Linked DNA regions of Drosophila melanogaster. The gene in region 1 interacts genetically with each later gene. Each region holds a gene or a part of one and is shown on either strand. Other genes may lie near its edges.

The links.
Region 2: of foxo (region 1) and grim, changing one enhances a phenotype caused by changing the other (phenotypic enhancement), as found in Drosophila melanogaster (one study listed by BioGRID).
Region 3: of foxo (region 1) and Pten, changing one suppresses a phenotype caused by changing the other (phenotypic suppression), as found in Drosophila melanogaster (2 studies listed by BioGRID).
Region 4: of foxo (region 1) and InR, changing one suppresses a phenotype caused by changing the other (phenotypic suppression), as found in Drosophila melanogaster (4 studies listed by BioGRID).

What each region holds. Positions count from the first base shown.
Region 1 is NT_033777.3:14,055,212-14,059,978, reverse strand, and holds the start of foxo (forkhead box, sub-group O), read right to left. Parts: upstream 3,035-4,767; 5' UTR 2,955-3,034; exon of another isoform or gene 2,551-2,954; intron 2,239-2,550; 5' UTR 1,872-2,238; intron 1-1,871. UniProt on the Drosophila melanogaster protein: Transcription factor involved in the regulation of the insulin signaling pathway. Consistently activates both the downstream target Thor\d4EBP and the feedback control target InR.
Region 2 is NT_037436.4:18,302,206-18,306,222, forward strand, and holds grim (grim), read right to left. Parts: upstream 2,213-4,017; 5' UTR 1,895-2,212; coding exon 1,478-1,894; 3' UTR 514-1,477; downstream 1-513. UniProt on the Drosophila melanogaster protein: Activator of apoptosis, independent of rpr and hid, that acts on the effector Dredd.
Region 3 is NT_033779.5:10,255,805-10,262,799, forward strand, and holds Pten (phosphatase and tensin homolog), read right to left. Parts: upstream 5,246-6,995; 5' UTR 5,050-5,245; exon of another isoform or gene 4,781-5,049; 5' UTR 4,450-4,780; intron 4,184-4,449; exon of another isoform or gene 3,887-4,183; 5' UTR 3,772-3,886; coding exon 3,672-3,771; intron 3,610-3,671; coding exon 3,437-3,609; intron 3,370-3,436; coding exon 3,225-3,369; intron 3,112-3,224; coding exon 2,924-3,111; intron 2,853-2,923; coding exon 2,745-2,852; intron 2,594-2,744; coding exon 2,431-2,593; intron 2,370-2,430; coding exon 2,260-2,369; intron 2,190-2,259; coding exon 1,974-2,189; intron 1,913-1,973; coding exon 1,591-1,912; intron 1,319-1,590; coding exon of another isoform or gene 1,314-1,318; exon of another isoform or gene 1,106-1,313; intron 703-1,105; coding exon 683-702; coding exon of another isoform or gene 649-682; 3' UTR 515-648; downstream 1-514. Other genes in the region: CG5676 (uncharacterized protein), read right to left, coding at 1-11.
Region 4 is NT_033777.3:21,616,280-21,621,316, forward strand, and holds the start of InR (Insulin-like receptor), read right to left. Parts: upstream 3,043-5,037; 5' UTR 2,743-3,042; exon of another isoform or gene 2,448-2,742; intron 1-2,447. UniProt on the Drosophila melanogaster protein: Has a ligand-stimulated tyrosine-protein kinase activity. Binds 3 insulin-like peptide ligands.

The DNA.
Region 1 (4,767 bases):
ACATATACATATACATATATATCGCTATATAGAGAAGGAGAGGCCCGACCAGGCAATGTGCAATAGTTCAGAATGCAGCGAGTGCGAACGCAAATGCAAATGAACGGCAGAGGCCCTGCAATGTTTATTGAATTCATTACAATAATTAAAGAGCAAACGAACGATTCGATTCCACTCGACCGATGGCGAAGTCAACCAGGAACGTAGAGCCCCCAAACGGCGATCTTCGATTGACAGCTGGGACAACTGACGCATGGAAATCATGGATGGGATCATCTGACTTCGCAAACGCAATCGATTTGCATTACTAACGTTTTTGGGGTCGGCGCGAAAAACGAAATAAATTAAGCAAAAAGAAGCGTTCGAAAAAAAGTTCTACACATCTGAGTAGAATATTTAAAAATCACAAAATAATACTAAGAAATAACTACTGGTATTCCGACTATATCTTTCTAAACAAAACAATATGTAGTGGCTCTCATTTAATGATCATTAAATTTCCATTACTAACGTTTTTCGGTTATCGGTAAAATCGACATTATCGATATAACTTATCGTCATTCTCAAACGAGCTTATTAGTAAGAGCTTTACTAATTCTTGAAGAATACTAGAATACGAAGAATACGTTTAATGTTGTCTCTCAAAATTAATTGACTTCCCGGTTTCCCTGCTTCAATTACAGCTTTTTAGACAAACTTTCGCACACTTTCTTGTTATCAACTGGCACGTTCCACCAATGTGGCTAGCAAACACTCAAGATATGATAAAAGTCACAATCGCAAGCACATAGGACGACTATACAGATGTGTGTATAGGCTTATATGTACACTTTTTTTGGGCCATCAGCTGCTGTTGTACCTTGGCACATTGCGAATAGATAAAAGCCTTATCTGTAAATGGGGAATAAAAAAGCCTCTTTCGACAGCTAACCGAGTGGCGAATCAACCCATTTATGAAAATTAAACCTAATCACATTTCAATGTCAATACTGATGTCAAGAGAATATTCAAAAGCATCTGAAAACGGTGCGTATACGAGATCGCTGGCAAAATATGGCAACAAAATCGACCTTAGTGGATCGCATACGAAAATCGGGGGAGCAAACAAACACAGAACGAAAGAAATGAGCTCCACGCAAACGACACACGCTTCAAGCTCTGCTATCAGTGTGGCGCTGGGGCTCTATTTTTAGAGCCATTATCAGCGCTGCTCTAATTAAGATCTCCCCTGCCCACTCCCATGACAAGTAACACACCAAAACGGACTAATCAAAACCCACACGAACTGAAAGATCATCTATTGGAGCGACACTGCAGCGCCGAACGTGACCGACTTTATGATTCTAGTCGTTTTGATCTTGAAAGTGAAACTAGGAATTACTCGAATAAGGTTATAAATCACATTCCCTATCGGTTGTATTAAAATTTGGGTCGTAAATTCAATAGATGTGACTACTTTAACACAACAAAAAGTCCAGCTTTCCTATCTAAAATTCTAAACACCAATATAAATAAAAGAACCTAACTCTAGTTTCTATTAAACCTCTTAACTTTTATCAAAGCTTATTTTTATAAATATAGCAATAGCAATTTATATTGGAAATATTTCACGGAAGAATGAATATTTTATTGTGGCGACTAAAAAAAATGTTGTTGTAATCAACATAAAATACCATTTAATTTAAATTTTAATTGATGTGTAGGAAAGCACTGCTTCAATTACTTTTTTAATCGCGTGACGAAACAAAATTTGACTTTTAGAATATTTCAATCAATTGCCGATTAGATTCGAATCGAATTTAGGAACTTAAAAAACATGACATTTTTCATTCAATCAAGTACACCTACTCGTAATTGTTAATAATATTTACCCGCCAAATGTTTGCAATGGGAAATAGCTGGCTAATTTGTTGCTCCTTGTTGATTGCGATTTAAAAAATTGTTGATTTTGCCGGTGGGATTTGTTGATCGCCGTTTGCTGTTGTTAACTGGCACTGTTTTACTTTATTTTCCTGGTTGCTTTGCACTTTTTTATGGGTTTGTTTTTTTTTTATGGGTAGTATATATGATTGTGTTGTTGTTTTGAGCGAAACTTGTGCGGATTTCTTGATTTTTAGTGGTTATTTAAATATATACATATATATTTTTTAGAATTCTGTTGGCATAATTTTCTGCTCACACACACACACACTCATTAAATGGGTTTCTTGTTGTTGCTGGGCGGCGGTTTTGCTTAAGCTAAAGACGATTGTAAAAACGGTAAATTAGAATATATATATAACAACAATCAAAATAAACAAATAAAAAGAGCGCGAAGAGAGCGGCGCGATTAAAGAGCGTAGTGTGTGTATGTGTGTGTGCCGAAGAAAGAGAGGGAGAGAGCGAAGAGAGCGATCACGTCACGTCATCAATTCATGCCAATTGGACGCACACACAACACTTAATTGGAATTCGTATGAGAATTCAATGAAAACCGTGCGGCGCAGTCGAAAAGTTGTTTAAAGTTCAAATGGGTAAAAAATTTTAATATAAACACGTTTCGGAGCTTACTCCAATTCGCTTTTTATTCGCCACTAGTGTGCGTAACGTATTTTATGTGCCATATAGTAGGTACATATGTATGTATTTGTATGTACAACGTGACTGCTACGAAGATCATCCAAGCATCGCTATTTAATACGTTTTGGAGCTTTTCTCTTATTTTATACGATTGTCGTATGTAAAAAACGAACGCGTTCCTTCTACGTTTCAGTTTTGAGTTCGGCACATTCACATGTTTTGAAAGCGAAACATATTTATTTTCCACTTTCTTGATTTGTTTCTACATTTGCGTTTTAGAATCAACGGTGTTCGGCCCCAAACGATTTGGGCCTCAAAAGATCACTGCGTTTTTTGCATTGGTTTATATTTGCTTTGCTTGAAGTTGAAAAGGAAAACGATGAACGATGAACGACCTCGTGGCTTTTAACCGCAAGCGAAAAAACACAGACTACTCGTTAACTGCTTTCTAGTTGGATGCGAACTGACAACTGAAACTGATTCGCCGTCGCCTTCGTAAAAGTGTTCGTTTCGGCGGCGCAAAAAGGCGGTCTGTGCGTGTGTGTGTGCGACCTATGTCCGCGTATGTGAGAGCTTGCTCTTAGCATCCACTCACGTTCCACAACCGCTCACTTCACCGCTTTTTTATGTTTGTGGCGCGCTTCGTCTCACACACTCTCACACACTTGGGGCCAAAAAATTAGTGGGGTATGCCAAATCGATATGTTTTATTTGAGTATTTTCTGCGTGAAATAAGAGAAGTTATAGCTATAGCTATAAATGCAATAGATATTTTAAATCTTAAAGCATACAAATTTCTCTCTTTAAGGGATATTAACCCCAACTAAATGATAATTCGTATAAAATAAAAAAGGAATTGTTTCAATACTTACAAATTTAATAATATAAAACTTAATCTATTTATTTTTAATAACGGGTGACTGTTTTAATGAAAAGAATAAAGTTCAGCTGCAGTGAAACATTTAAGACGTCATTGCATATTAATAACAATTTGAAAAGTATTCATTATAAAAAACATGTTATTCACTATTGAGGTGACCGCCTTTGTGCCCCCGTCAATATTAATAAATAAAAGCCATAGTTTACCTATTTTATACATTTGGAATTTAAATTGTTTCTTTTCATTTCGGTCGCGCTGCTCTGAACTCGAAATTCTCGACGATGGAGGAAAGGGAACGGCGGCGGTGGGTGGTGGTTGGGCGTTTTGGGTGGGGTGATGGGGCGGTCGGCATTGCTGATAAGGCAGCCGTTATCTCGCGATTGTCGCTCGCTCGTTCACTCAAGCTCTCTCTCTCCCTCCCTCTTTGAGGCTCCATTTCTCTCTTACGTTCATTGTCTCGTGATGCGATGGAAAATTTCCCGAAATTGCATTCTACTGATAATGCCAGCAATGCACATTTGTGCATATGAATATGGGACTCAGAAGTGCCCCGCATCTCTTGCAGTGTGCGAGCTTTTTGGGAGCATGTATTTTATGGTCAAAGTCCCCCGCATCCCCGACCACCGAAAAATAAGCCCCTCCCGGTGCCAGTTTTTTTTTTTTTTTTAATTTCATTTTTCGCCTAGGCCCGATATCTCTATACTTGTACACACGTTCGCGTCCATGAGAGTGTGTATCGGTGTTATTTTAATGTGCCTGCCACATAAATTCCGCAACATTACACGGCTAATGAAGTCTAGACGCTGAGGACGGAGAAACCAACAGTTTATGGATCATCCAAACTTAAAGACCGACCCGATGCGATCGTCTCGATCCCTCGAGAGGGGGGATTAGAAACGAGCCAAGGAGATGAGTTAAGGACTTTAGGGTGCATCTTGGCATATCTAGGATCTTAAAGATTTCAAATTTGCAGGCTTCATTGGGTAATTTTTTGTTAATTTGTAATTTTTCAGAATATTTTTATTGCTTAAAAAGCTCTTTTAGTTTTTTTTTGTTGTAAGATTATAGCTCTATTAAATAGGCCTCAAAGTCTGCAAAGTCCCGAGTTATGACAATAAAAGTTTGCATGTACATAGAGATTTTGGAATGCGAGAACAACAAGAAGATAAGTCCGCCAAAAGATACATATATATTTTAGAATGCTATTAAGTTGGCTTAAGAACGATAAGTAACACGTTGGTATAGGTAAGTTCCATCTGGAAGTGGGCTTATAAATCACTACTACCATTTAAATGAGCATGTAAATAGCATGTTAACTGGAGTATCAA
Region 2 (4,017 bases), on another chromosome or scaffold:
CACCTTTGCTTTTTAACCCTTTTGGGTGGAGTGTGCCTGGCATGACACGACGGGAAAATTCTCTGTCTGCCCTTAACCAAAAATGTGTTTTCCCTTTTAAGGTGACATATTGGTTTTGACGATAGCGATCGCTAAATGTTTGCTTACTCCGCCTTTTCCTGGCAGGACGGTTATCCTTTGCCATTTCATTGCCCAAAATGGAATACAAAGGCTTAATTCATAAGCGGTTATTAAAAGAGTGTATTAAACAAAATTTCATATTATTTTGACGTATTTTTTTATAAAAACTTTGGTGAAACAAATAAATATTCTTTTGAATTTATTTTAAAAACGTTTTAGTTTATTTTTAAAATATTTTAAAAACGCTTCGAATAATTTTTCAAAAACATTTTAATAGAGTTCTACACCTCCGAAATAAAAGGTAATTAAATATATATATCTCGGCAATGGTGTTGGTAAAATTCTTTATGTTTTTCTGAAAAGGGACAATAATAATCGTTCAAAGTATTTTTTAATTTTTTATAAAATTGTATTTATTTTTTGCTTGTTTGTCTTATAAAAATTTTAATTTCTTACAAATGCTATCTTTACATGTGATTAATTTCAATATTTCTTGTTTAATTTGCAATGCCAAAATTAAAATAATATGTTTTGAATTTTGCTAAAATCAATAATAATGATAAGATACATTTCAAATTTTGTTATTCTTGATTATTCGTATCAAAATTGCTTAAATGTTTGTTGTTGTTTTGTTTAATTTTTGTTAAAATGTATTCTGTTCGGCGGTTCTTGTATTCTATTTTTTGTAGACGTTTTGTATTTTCTCTCTTTGTTGTAAACATATAAAATTTGCTGTTTGCTTAAAATCTATTTTGTACAATTGAGTTGTTGTCTTTTGTTATTCTTGTTGCTGCGGTTGCATCTTTGTTTTGTTGTTGGTTCTGTATTGTAGTTCTGTAATATTAGTTTACGATTTATATTTGTAAGTAGTTGAAATGTAGTTGAAGTAGTTGAAGTAGAAAATTTGACAATTATTTGTTAGTTGAGTACGATACTTGTGGTTTTGCTCATACGTATAGACACTAATAAGGTTTATGACAATTTTACACATTTCTCTTTATGCTCTCTAAATGTTGTTAAGTATGTTTATGTATTTGAACCAACCGGGAAACCTTTGCTTGCAAAATTAAACATTTTTTCAAAACTTATATCGGAAAATTTGACATCCAAAAAAGTAACAAACAACCAAAATCACTTTAAGCAAGTCGATGACAAATTTTGAATTTTCTCTCTCTCAAAAATAGTTTAAAAATAGTTTTCTTATTTTGTTGTGGAAATATCCCATGTTTTACAAAACTCGTTCCTCCTCATGTGTCCATACCCAAAAAAGAAATCACAATGCGCTTTGATTGAGCCTGCCTTTCCCAGAAAATCCCAAAGATTTTCTCTCCACCAGGATGAAATATGGAAACCAAATTTAGTTCTCCTTGGAGGTGGCATCAGTCACGTCGTCCTCATCGTTGTTCTGACCGCCGCTGCTGATCTCGAAGGATATCTGAATGACCGTCGGTTGACGCTGGCTCGAACTGTAGCTGTAGATTCGCAGAGCGTAGCAGAAGATCTGGGCCAAAAGATCCCAGCATCCAAACTCCGACATGGTCATCGATCCCTGTTGACTTCCCAGCGGCACGGAAATATTGGCACGGAATTGTGGGCGCTGTTGCTGATGATGATGTCGCTGCTGCTGCTGCTGTTGTTGCGATTGTTGCTGCTGCTGCGATGGTGCAGCAGCTGTTGCAGTTGTCCTTGGACTCGCTGCTGTCTGCTGGCCGTTTTGCTGATAGCTTCTGGCCAACAATTGGGCCTGGTCGGGTATGAAATAGGCGATGGCCATGGCGGTATTTAATTTAATACAAAATGTGATTTTACAAAACGTATGAATCTTTAAAAAAATATATAACTTTAGTGTAGCATATATTTTTAATGTTTGATTTCAATATCGCTGAGGAATAATATATTCCATTCACTGCTTGCACTTTAAGTCTTGTAAGTCTTTATGTTTCGTATCGAGCACTTGGAAAATTTTTCTGACTCATTTGGCGGGAAAACGAACGAGGAAACTTGTCGCTTTTTGACGAACTTTCAACTGCGCTTTTCGCTTCCGCTTGTTATTCAATGTTCTCTCGTCGAGGTTTCAGAGTGGACTGACTGTAAATATCCTTGCTGCAGTCACATTTATAAAATAGCTCTCTTTGTACTTTCCTATAGGAAGCGAGTTCCTCTCTCGCAGTGAATGTCACCCTCCCAATTTCCACCACCCCCCGGGAGTTTGTGTGTATTGTGTGTGTGCTTTGTTTATGCCAACAACCAACCAATTGAACCACCAACCACAGGAACCCACACCACTGACAATGTGCCACCACCACCGCCAGTTTACCACCCCAAAGACACGGCTGCCTTTGTTACCTTTACTTCGGAACTAGAAAGGGGGTGGGAAAGTGGCTGAGAAGCGGTGAGAGACTCGGGAAATGAGAGCGGAATTGGGGAAAATCATTTCACGTAAGAGTGCTACGTCAAATAAAACGTAAGCTCTTTGGGATTTCGTTGTTCGAAGCGCGGCATCGAATTCATTTCGAATTTCAGGGGTTAACTTGGGCGTACTTGCTCTAGCTGAGTCTAGCAATTTTGAGGGGAAGTTTGGTCGTCGTATGCTCATTTCGAATTTCGAACTTGGATTTCACTACGGATGAATCAACAATTGTTTGTTATGACATTTTGGTTCGCATAGAAACTGATTTTTGGTGATTAAATGCAATTTAATCTTGCTTATTGTACCTATTATTAGTATAATTATTATTTTCAATATTCATTAATGGCAAACAAATTTATACCAGGGACCAACGAGATCTTTTCTTACATTGTATCACTTTGGGTTATTTATAGTATACTTCTTTACATACTTAATATATTTCAAAACAGCGGAGTCTCCTTCACCTAAAATCTCTTGGAACCACTAACCCGCTTTCAAGTTAAGCATCCTTCAACTCAAAAAGCTTGCACGGCAAATCTTTGATGCGAAAACCTTGCGTAATGGTCCTTGAAGATTCCCCCTATTGCAGCCTTAAACTTGACCATAACAAAGGGCACCCAAATGGATTGACCTTCAAGCTAACGCGAATCCAGCTCCCTCAAACATTATGCTGACGACAATTTCAACCTTGGAAAATGTTTGATCCCAGCTCCCCCATTTTCCGTTAGCTGCAGCTCATCCATTATGATAAGCTGTTCCCGGATAGTTGCAAAGTCAAGAAAGCAGTGGCTGTGGTAGAGGGGTATGAAGAAAGTATACTTATGCAAAACTGATTATAAGAAAAATTGAGAATAATTTTTGGGTATAATTTCATGAAAAAATAAATTTTATCAATAATGTAAATTTATTGAATTTGTTTTATATAATTTATTTACAATCATGATGAATTAAAATCTTACATATGGAATAAATCATAATAACGATTTTTTTTAATTAGACAAGTATATTGTATTATCTCCTCCTCTGTCCCAAATGTTCAATAAATGTCATTTAACACTTTAACATTCCAGAAAAGGACTTCCAGGGAGCGGAAAGCATAAAGCCAATTGAGCTTATTTCCTCCCCCTATGTAACATTTTTGCTGAGGGAGCTCCAACAAGGCCATCGCCAAGGCCAAGTCCGCCACTTGTGGGTGATGTTCCACAAGTCTCCTACCGGCAAAAGCTTTTTATTTCTCACCCAACTGGCTTCAAGGTCGTGCCGGCCGGCATTTCCACCCACATTCAGCTTTTCCTCTTCATTTTTGTGCGTGCGACCTTGACAATGAAATTCGTTTAGGGAGCACAGCTCCTCCAAAGAAAGTGTGGGTGAGCTTTTCCTGACACAGTTGACAGCACGTGGTCGTTATATTCTGGCATATATATAAATGTCAAGCTCAAGGTCGCTGGGTATCGATTTGCCGAACTTGGAGGGTCTGTATTACTTAC
Region 3 (6,995 bases), on another chromosome or scaffold:
TAATTAGTCATTTTTAAAATTAGATGTCGACGTTAAGATGCGAAATTCTGACCGCCCAGTTTACGTCAATTTAACACAATAATATATGCCCGTCAAGATAGCGTCAATTTGGACAACATTTTTGTGTTGGGTTTATTGGAACTCGGAAGTGGAACATATGTTAGGGGAATTATGGGAAAAAGAGTAAGAAAAATAACTGGTAGCACTTAACGTAGAAACTGGAATAATCATACTTTGAATATTTATTATTAATCTGATAATTACCTTTGTGAATCCTGTATGCTTTGCACAACAATTGGCAAATTTCAAGAACCTCTTATTATTTATTTATCTTAGCTATTGCCTCATTTGAAACTATTAGTTAAATTCCAATAAAATATGAGATATCCATTTAATCGCTGCACTTTTCGTGTCGAAAACTAGTTTCGAGATCAAAACTATAAATTTAAGTATTTTTTTCTAAACGTCAATTATTTCTCCCCCCTTACTTTAGACAAAAACCCAAAGTTCGAATGAAATCTACAATACAAAATGTACATGAGTTTATTTAAAATAATTGTTAAAACTACTTAAATAAATATCATACAGTATATTTACAAATTCGAATAGATTAGCCAATTACTTAGCAATTTTAATTACTTTGCTAAATCACCAAGAATTATAAGTCCGTAATAAGCATTGATTACAGGTATGTTGATTCACCTGGAAATAAAGAAAAATATTCATTTATTAGTTTAGATTTTTTTGCTCAAACAAGCTTAATGAATTTATTAACTAAAACTCAACGAGAATACGATAAAAATCAAAATAGCATGAATGAATTAAAAGCAGAAGACTTTTGATGATGATGAAACACACAAAAGACACATTCTGCTTCAGGATATTTAGTTTTCAACAGCAACAGTGAAATAGTCGAATTAGTCGAAGTTCGACAGTTCGGTGCTAGTTTTGTTAAATGAATTGAGTAGAAGGACAATGGCAGTGCCCAGAGTCACATACTTATGAAGCGGTGAGGGATGTGTGATGAAAATCGATGCGGATACTGATTAAGGATTGCCGGTTAGTTGACCATTCGAGCCGCAGGCATGGGCTCCCACTCACTCACCTATGTACATTAAATTCTAAACAGATGTGCAGAGCGCAGCTGTAATCGATCGTTTCCCCGTGAAAGGAAGTGGATCTGTGTAAGCCTGTCTCTGCTAGTATACTCGTAAAAGTCTTGGGGACATATAAATCCAGTTCTGGTGGCTTCGTTTTATACATCAAAATTAAGAGATCGTTCAGCCAGAAGTCTTTTAAATCGTCTCGGGTGATTATTCTGGCGAATTCAATAAGTCAATAAGAATATAAATGTGTGGACGATAGCATATGTCGATAAAGGCTATCTCTTTTAACAAATCTTAATTTGAATACTCATACAATACAATTAATTACAAAATCAAACCGATAATGGTCCAGAAATCAATTGAATCGAAACTCTTAGTATTAAATAAATGTGAAATTAGAACAATTGTTCGGTATTACTCGATTAAAACGGATAGATTTTTAGTGAGATCTGGTCATTGAGAGTATAGTGTGCAGCAAACTCACCGGATTCCCAATCTTCCTCGCCATCTTCGGTACCACAGTTGAATTTTGGAGAGGATTGTTTACATGTGATGTATGAATTGTAATTGATGTTCTTATTTTCGTTTATACTTCGAGTGTCAGAGGTGATATGAACTTCACTATTCTGCCATTTGATTAAATCAGTTTTCTTAATGGACGGTTGATTAAATATATGATTTCGTTTTATTTCCTCTTTTGTGGAATCATTCAAGCTTGGTAAAAGAGTTTTGCTATTAGGCTGTTTGCGTTTGCACGCAGTCGAAGTATTTTTTGAATTGGTTGATGTGTCGTATTGAATTTTAGTCTACGAATATTAGATTTATAGATTAAGCATATTGATCGGCGCAAAACGTGTTTTCACTTACAACTATATCCTTATGATCCAACGTTTCTATTGTTTGACTTTTCGTTGTATTATCATTGACGATCGCAGTTAAGACTTTTTTTTCGGCATAGCAGTTTGGAGACAAACTGTCATAGTCTGATCTTTCGAAATTTAAAACATTTTCGTTTCTCTCTTTTTCGGACGCTTCAGCTTGAACATCATTGCTAAAATTCTCTGCCTCAAAAACGATTGAAATCTGAAAAGAGAGCAAGCACATTTATTTGGTAATTTCGCAGCATCTATTAAAATGCTTCGAAATATCCTACCTTGAATTCTTCTGAAAATCTTTTATGTTCACTGTCTTTATGTACATCATCGATTTCTGATTTGCTTAAAGTGTGTATATATTTGTTAACTGTTCCATCGGACTCGCAAGCTAAAGAGAATGTTTAATTAAATCGTTTATTTAATGCATGTGCGATATTAAGTATACTTACGTGAATAGTTTCGTACAAAAAACGTATTTAGCCAAAAGTGACAAATGATTTTATCTGGGGATTTTTTTGTGAGTTCAAATTTTACATCGCCGGAAACTGGTATTGATGGTTTAATGGTCAAAACAAATGATTTTTGAAAATCAATCGGCAAGGTTTTCAGTCTCTGCAATTATAAAAAAAAGAAGAATGTTACTGCTGGTTAGAAAGGTATTCGAAAAGGAACACTTTACTGCACTGAAATCGTGTGAAATATACATTTTTAAAATGCTGTCTATAGTCTATCAATGATGTATCTATATACTTTATATACTTACATCTGGCTTTGCATTTTCTGTGGCTGAGTCGTGTAATACAGATATTGAACATTCTACCATGCCTAAGTTTTGCACACAACTGGACTCCGAGAAGCGTATTTCACATACCTGAGATACAAAAAATGCATATTTAGATTTTGTACGGCGCTGAATGTGGCGCTGCTGCTGGAAATACTCACGTTAAGGCTTACTTTCGAATATGGAACACTTGAACAAACTAGTTTGGAAAAATACTGAACATATCGACGCTGAGATGGGATTGTCACACCTTTTCGGTCCTTTGTACGCTTCTCATCATACCACGCTAATGCCTCGTCGGCGGATTTTTTAATTCCACTGAACACTAAATATGCGCAGATCATGGTACCTGAAATGAAAAAAAACTGGGTTAGTTTTTTAGCCCTACAAATATCGAAACAAGATCATAGTGTGCCATGATATTTATGAACTTTCGCACAAAATGTTGAACACATTTCCTACCGGTTCTGCCCTTTCCAGCTTTACAGTGCACGGCTACAACATTGGACGAATCTTCCTTGAGCCACATATCAACATCACTGCAAAATCGTTGTATTAACTCAATCGTTGGAGGGTTATGATCATCGAACGGATAAACAGCTACTCTCTGTAATGCGAAATAGTATATTTTACATATTTTACGCCGACAAATAGAAAAAGTTCAACAAAATTACCCCGCGAAATTTAGCAACGTCGTAACTACGCTCCGAGCATAGGTTATAGATTTTGTAATGCTGGGCATGATTCTCTTCCAATAGCTTAAAGACATCTTCCAGACGGTTTCTGAATAGGCCCTCTAGTTTATCCGGTGCTGGATAGCCCATGGCAATTATGTTATCATTAATGTCTGTGGGTAAATAGATAATTTAATTTAATATTCCAATGATTGCGGTTGATTCAATAACTTACATGTTAAATCCAAATCGTATCCTTTTTCTTTGTATCGTATACGTTTTTTACTCACTACATTGCGTATCACGTTGGACATTAACGAAATAGTGTTGGCCATATTTTTAAGGTTTAAAGACTTGTCTTTTTTATTTAAATTAGATTAGCTGCATCCATTCAAATGTATTTGGGAACCAGTGCTTGTCTTCTATTTACTCCATTGCAAAGTGTACGTTCTGAAAGGAATGTAAAGCATATTAATTAATATGCATATGATTCTAACTAATCTGTTTATTTTCCACAGCAAGTTAGAAAAGTATTGACTCAATTCAGCTTAGTTTTCTACTGCGAATTCAAACCTAAATCCTTTAACAGCAGACAAGTTTCTAATATGGTCAATAGAAACTGCTTAATTATACTGTGCCAAGGCATTCTAAAGGGATATATGGAACTAATATAATGGGCTTGTTTTCTCCCGATCCACTTAGGTTGTTCTATATAAACTAATACTTCTTACTCGGCTAAGATATATTCCTGTTTGCAGTTCTTGCTTGGATACATATTTAAGCACGTACATACACATACAGACAGAGGTGCACTCTCTATAGGAATAGTTCCCTACTTGTTTTCCCAGGAACAGGTAAAGAGTTAACTTCAGTTCGGTTTATATATCCACAAATATCCTTAGCACAAACATGCACACACTCACACACACTCGCACATGCACACGCACATATGTACATACACACACACACACACACAGGCAGGCATTTGCGGCACACACGTGAAACATACTTACATGTATCGGCATATTATCAAAGATAAACAATATAACAATCTTCCGCTTGGCATAATACATTCAGATTGGTTGTCAAATGGTCCTGGTTTTAATTGTAACTGGCTAACAGAACAGAGTTCTTTTATTGAAGCCCAACGCACGGCGATTTCGATACGAATTCGAGCAATTAAATGGGTTCGTTGGCTGAGGGGGCGATTTTCGAGGGGTGAAAATCAAAATCAAAATCCGTTTTAGAAACACCGAGCAGTAATTTCGAATTACTTAACATAGCGACTGATTTGGCAACTGTTTTTTGTTTTATCTCGCCGAGTAGACACACTTTTTTGACAAACTGTTTGCGAATGGTGGTATGTATTGTAGTTAGAGCACATATGCATGTACAGAAATATGCAGATATGGATGATGGGCATGTGCACATATATGCACCGATTTTTGTGCATTTATGTACATATTTGTTTAAACAAAAACATATTTACAATTCCACAGACATTTTACACATTTACACTATCAGCACCACACGAATATATGTGCCCACTGTTTAATACATATGTATGTATGTGCATATGGGTATGTTTAAGTCAATAAGCTAAATGTTCCAACCGAGCAGGTTCTGGCTACTGCATTTCAAAAAGCTATCACATGTTTTGCTCTAAGCCACGAAATTTCAAATAAAACTTTTCAATTATGTGTAAAAGTTAAACAGTAGCGCTCATGCTCTATTAAATGTATTATTAATTTATCAAGCGTGAGATCCACAGGGTGTTTACGGCGAGCGATACCACCACAAGATTTGAGAAAATGTACATCCAGTGCTATCGACGTGCGTGGTGCCCTCTCGATTAAATTGTGTATGCAAAAACTATCGATGGGTCATCGATACAACCATTTATTTTTTAGCACTGCGGTTTTAAACAATATGTAATTATCTATGCATTTATTTTAATCTTATTAAACAACACACATATAACTTCATGCTACCAAAAACATGACTACCAACACATCTTTTACTCGAGTTCTACCCACGAAACTAATATTGCTACAGCTATTAAAAATTCCATTTCTTGCAAAACCAATATTATTTTTGGTATGCAATTTTTTAAAACGCAAACATTTTTAAGATTTACGAATACCTTTTATTTATTTTTTTTTCCAGCCATTGAAATGCTATTGAAAACTATCAGTTTGGGTAATACCATTAATGTAATCCTCTCTTTTTTTATTTACAATCGATAAAAGTGCAACAGGTTTTTTATGGGTATTCGATTATTTTGACATAAATATGATTGGAATTTAAAGTTCCTTTATTCAAAAGCAAAACCTGCTATCTGAATAATTTAAAATTTTAAAAAATTTTCAAAACTTTAAAAATTACACTCGTATCTTAAGGCTAGTTGGTTTCCGCAAAATGAATTCTTGGTACCACTTAATTCTCAACTGTTGACTTTAATTCGTAACTTGAATAAATCAAAATAGGCCAATCATCAGTAAATGTTATTGAAGCAAAAAGGACTCGAAGACGAAGAAATAAAAACAAGTGTTTTGCCGTGTTAACCAATTTCTCATTTATTTGTCTCGCTTTTTATTTGTTTAAAAAGTTTCTGCAGTCCATCGTTTAAATATTTAATAGCCCCTTGGGCTAACTAACTAATCGTCGTTATCATAAGTATTGCTTAGCTATGTTTTGAACTTTAAGCAATCTAATAAATCTGAAAGTGACGTTAAGAGATACTCCAACAAATGACCTGTTAATTTAGTTAAATGAAATAAAACATAAACATTAAAACCGATGCGCTTAATATAGTTGCTTGCAGCATTGGCTAGATTTTTGCCGTTTCGACCCAACTACAATAAGTTATAGATTTGTATAGTATTTGTCTTAATAGGTAAAAAGTTAGATCGATGGATAGTACACATGCAATATTTCTTACCAAAACGTAAAGTCAATGATTTGTTTGTAAACACTTGGCGGTTATTGCTTTTTAGGTTTTCGAGATTCAGAAAACAAAGCAGATTTTCGAAAACGCTTTCTTACCAGTTTCGGACTGCTGACTGCTTCATTTCGTAGGGTTTATTACGATGGTTATAAGAGGTTCTGTAAAAATGAACACCTACACAATTCCGAGTTCTCAAAATTCTTTAATGTTTTAGACCAATTATTTTGCGAAAGCTTTTATGTATACGAGAAACTGTTCCGCATTTCCTTTATTAAAATTGCGTACTTCTAGATTTTGGTTTGACGTTGTTCGAGTCTTAGCGTATTTTTCTTACTAGTTTTCTACGTTATAACTTAAATTTTACGTGCTTGCAATTGTCATGTTAATGGGTATTCGTTAAATAAATAATGAAGAGACGACGACTATCAGTTTTTTGTTTTTTCTTTTTTTTTTATCATTCTGTTGTTGTTGTTGATGTGGGGGAATGAGGGAATCTGTTGGACGATCGAAAACGATCGAATGCTACGATTTTAAATGTTTGAGTCTGCGTTTTACGGTCGCGCTTAAGTTATTATTTATTAATCTTTACTCATAGGCAATCCTTAAGCAACT
Region 4 (5,037 bases), 7.6 Mb from region 1:
CAAAATTGTTTGGCTGTGTGAATGTGTGTGTGTGTGTGCTGTTTCGCAGCGAAAAAGGTCAATGACACCTGTCTGTTTGTCTCGCTCGGCTCACACACACACACATACAGGCTTATCACCGGCCACTCTCTTTCGGCAATCGTGCCCTCTCTTTCTGGCCTGCGCGCAGCTACGTTTAGACATGTGGTCAGAGCATTTTTTTTGTTTTTTCTCGCTTTAAAAGGCATTCGTGTTGGTGGCGGCATGTGTGTTTTTGTTGTTCGTTTCGGCACTGTTAATTAGTGTGGCCAAATTATGCGCCAAAGCCGCCAACAACTCGATGGTCATACGTCATCAACAATAGCCGGACAAACAATTTCCGGTTTTTAGCCACACCATTAAAAAGCCAATATCAGAAATAACATGCACAAAAATAAAATAATAAAAATACAGAGAAACAAAAGCAGGCGCAACAACAACAAACTTGGCCCGGGTTCCGTCATTGCCTCATCCTCTATAGATCTCTTCTGTTCTTCTGCTTTATTTTGGTTCTATTTCAGCAATTTGTTATTGCGGCGACTTATTTTTGTCGCAGCACGCACACACACTCGCACTTATGCTCGCACACACACACACACACACACAAATGCACAGAGAGCAGGCAGGCAAACTCGATTTAAAAATAAATAAATTACGCACAAATACAAATACATTGGCCAACATTCTTCGGGCCTCGTCAAAAATATAGCATGATTAATACAAAAATGCGCAATTCTCTGGTGTTTTTTTTTTCTACTTCGGTTTTGCCTGTTGTTTTAACCCAACCTCCCAATTTTTTATGGCATTTCTCTCTTATTATACAATAATAACGCGAATATAATAAGAGCACAGCAAGTGGGCAGTTCAACGGCAACGCAAATAGCAACAACAAGCGCAGCGGCACGCCAATTAGTGCTTATGCTTTTTAATTAGCAAGCGGACCCATCCCCACATTTCCCCATTTTCCACCTTCCCGCCCACAAAACCACTTACCCGTAATATCTCCACGCCAGTTATTTGGGAAATATCTTCCCATTTATCACTATTTCAGTACACCCACAGACCCCCGATCTATTGATCTGCTTCCGTTGCGGATACAACACAAAATCAAAAGCCCGTAAATCGTGGGTGTATCTTTATCTCGTTCTTTTAAAGGGATATCCCACTTTTAATGTCAACTTAAGTCATTAAAGTCTCAACCTGCTTAAGTTGGCATTAAATAATTAATGTTTATAAAATGAAAACATTGTAGAAGCTCCAAACGTTTTTACAAAGTCTCCATTAAACTAAATTTAATGGATATCTTATACATATACCTTAAAGATAAAAAGAAACCCGATTTATAAGGTCACAGTTTGAGCAAATAGTTTGATCAACTTTTTGGGATTTGTTTTAGCAAGTGAGAGCTTTAAAATTGTACTGGATATATTTGGCTGGTTTACTCAGCATTTTGGTCACTCTAATTACGAGCTCCAAAATAAAATAAAAAACAGCACTGTCATGACTTTTTGACAACCGCTGAAAGTGTGGTGTCCACCATACATTAAAAAACAACACATTTTCCAAAGTATAACTTTAGAATTATAAAGGTTTGAAAATCATGACAAGTCAACAGGTGAGTTCAATTTTATTTTTGAAATATTAAATAAAAAATTGAGTTTTGCAGGTGGTCCTGAAGAGGGGGTGAGAGCAACATACATATTAAAGCGCCTTTTAAGGAAAAATGTATGGGTGTTTAATGGAAGTCGACTAAGACACTTCTTTGAAGTTTATTGTTTTGTTTTTTTTAATAATTTATACTAATTCTATAAATATTTAATAAAATTCTATTGAATAGCTCTTATTGACGCTTGTATGATTAATTTTAAAACTTACCAAGGACAATAAGGAGACAGTCTTTAGCAATAGTACTAAGTAATTTCATGAAATACTATTTTTAATAATAATGTTAGTTACTCTTTTAGTGCTGGCTTAATTTAATGCAATGGAAAACTTATCTGTACCACTTTTCAAAATGCGTGCAACAATAAAAAATAAACCAGCACAACAACAACAACAATAATAAAACAAAAACCGGCAGCAATCGAAATTCTTTCATTTCTTTTCCGCCTCTCTTCGCGCAGCCGCTCTCCGCACGACAGAGAGACAGAGAGAGAGAGAAAAAGAGAACAATGTTGGCTGCGCCGCTCATTCACAAAACGGAGACGTAAAGCGGTGTGCGAAGAAGAAGAACAACAACAGCCCAAGATATGATAGATATGGAACAACAACAAAAGGAACAAGAGGAACCGGGCGGAGAGAGGAGGAGGAGGAGAGCAAAAACAACTTGGCATAAATTGCTGCTGCGTAGTAATTTCACGAGTATTTTCCTAGTTACGTTCTCACTACTATTATTCATTTTATTATTATTTGTTGTTTTTGTTACATACCCCTTTGCAACGGTTTTGTTGTCGTGCATTGTTGATCTAGTTGTTGTTGTGTCACCTAATTTTTGATTTTTATTTCTATTTGTATTTTATTTTGGTATCGATTTCAAAATAGAACGACGCACTTTCCCAGACGCAGGCGTAATTAAATTTTCTTATGTTTTATTCGCGTGCTTTCTTTTTGCGCCGCAACTTCACAACATGCTGTGTATATATAAATAATAGGAGAGCGCGCGTGTGTGTGTGTATGTGTGTGTACACAAATTTTATTTATTTATTTACCGTGAATTTTACTCACACACCCGGACAAGCCGCACTCTCGCCAGCACACGAGAATCGCCCGCACTTGTATTTCGTGGAATTTCTTTAATTCGAACTCCACCGACCTCGCACTATTGCTCTGTATTTTGTATTTTCGCACTTTTCATTCACGAAATGCTGGGGCACATAATTTCGCCTTGCACAGTATTAGGTATCGGCAATTCACTGTGGCCTCTATTTGACAGCGATGATTTTCCGCACGACGAACACACTCACAATTCCAATTCACGGCGACCGCGGCAACGATCTCAACGTTTCGAAATCGCGTGAAACACTGCCAGCCGTTACCCTTGTTGTATACGCGATTTTCGGTTTAGCGCGTTTTCCAACTCTGTTCGGTCGTTTTCGAACTCTGTCTTTTGACCGCTTACAGAACTCTGTTAGTGCCGGCTGTTACACTAGCGCGCCACCTATAGCAGAGCTCTTCGTTTACCAACACGCCATGAAGCCCAATACTGAATCCTCGCGCACTAAAAACGGATATTCCATTTGTAAAAACTTTTATATGAGCATAATGTCATTAGCAAATATTACATTCTGGATCACTTTTTTTTCGAAAAATTTAGAAAATATAATAAAATAATGGCGCTATTATTGTGTCGATTTCTTAATGACATAGGAAATATTTTTATGTAATCATTGTCCAAGAGCATCTACTTTCCATGCAATCAAGCATAATCATTTCCTTGAACTCCCCGCCTAGGTGATAAATACTAACTAACTACAAATACTAGGAGCTGCTGTAAAACCAATTTAAACCAATTTTAAATATTTCGCTAGGATCTGCTTTTTGGGGTTTGGCTTTTAGAAACGCAAGTTTCAAGTTTAAAGATAGTGCGCCATACTTGAATATCGTAAATTGCAAGCAGTGCTACGTTTTACTGCTTTCCGAGTTGGCGGGCGCATTAAAATGCACTGCTTTCCCAGTTGGCGGGCGTTTTAAAACATGCAGACAAGTCTGCTAACTACTCATGGGTAAAATGATCAAAATCCAAGGAATGGATCACATATTTAAAATTCAACTTGGTGTTTAAAAAAATCTTTGAAAAGATGCATAAAACAGTACAGTCTTTATACTTTATTAAAAATAATTAATATAAAAAATAATATTTACCAAAAACATTCAAATGATGATTCAAAATTGCTTAGTTAAAAAAGAAGTTAGCAAAAAACACTTCTTGTGACCATGGCAAACTTCACCTTATTTAAATTCGGCTTGAAAAACTTAAATATTCAGTTTAATTGAAACAGTAGACATTCGGTTTTAAAAATTTATTTTGTTTATTTTAAAGTTTCCTTCGTTTTTGTAATATTTATTTTCTCTTTTTTTCATGTGTTTGTTTTTGGAAAGAAAGAAAAGTACCTAACAAGTGTGTTTTCTCTTATAAAAATTAAACGTACAATTATACAGTGGTTTCGGCTTGTTGCGGTTCTCCTTCGTTTATTTATTGATTTTTTTTTACAATTGTATGATTTGCATTTGTTTGTTGCTTTTATCTATCGTTTAGTTAAATATATAACTACTAGGAGAGAGTTTAAATAATTATTTATGTACTTGTAGTTGACTCTGTTAAGTGGTTGGTTGTTTGTTTTGTGGGATGATTTGGCTTCTATGAATAAACTGCTATTGGGCCCATGTGTGTGTTTACAGTTTAAATTTTATAACAATAACAAATTATGATACATAGTTATAGCTTTAATAATATTATAATTAAAAATCAATCGATAAATCCAAGCAAATGAAGAGAAGAGGATTCTGTTGCATGCGTCACTAAAACAGGAACCAAAGCCATCTTGTTGGGGGCCCAGGAGTGTTCTCTTCCTCTTCTACTACTGCTCCATATTAATTTGAAATGTCTTCGATATATTTTACAATTTGAAATTGATTTTCTTTTTATTGTTTAATGTTGATTGGCTTTACAACTATTTTGTTTTATAATTTAAAATTATATAAGTGTGTGTGTGTGTGTGTGTGTTGGTATTATTTTTACTAATTTACAGACAGTTCTAGCCCAAAAAGTTGTTTGATAAGAGGGAAGTATTCGCATTTTTTGTGTGTTATCCAATCGTTTAAATAGTATTCCTGATTCTTTTTGCTTTCTTTTAAAGGCTAAAATTAAAATTTGCTTATAAAATGTGGCTCTTCTTGCTACGACTTCTCCCTATTTCTCTCGTGAGGCTGAGTTTTTGTAAAGTAGATTTTGTGTTTTCGTTTTGTTTCGCTTAAATTAGTTTGGGTTATAAATTTAAATGTATATATTTTTACGCTTAA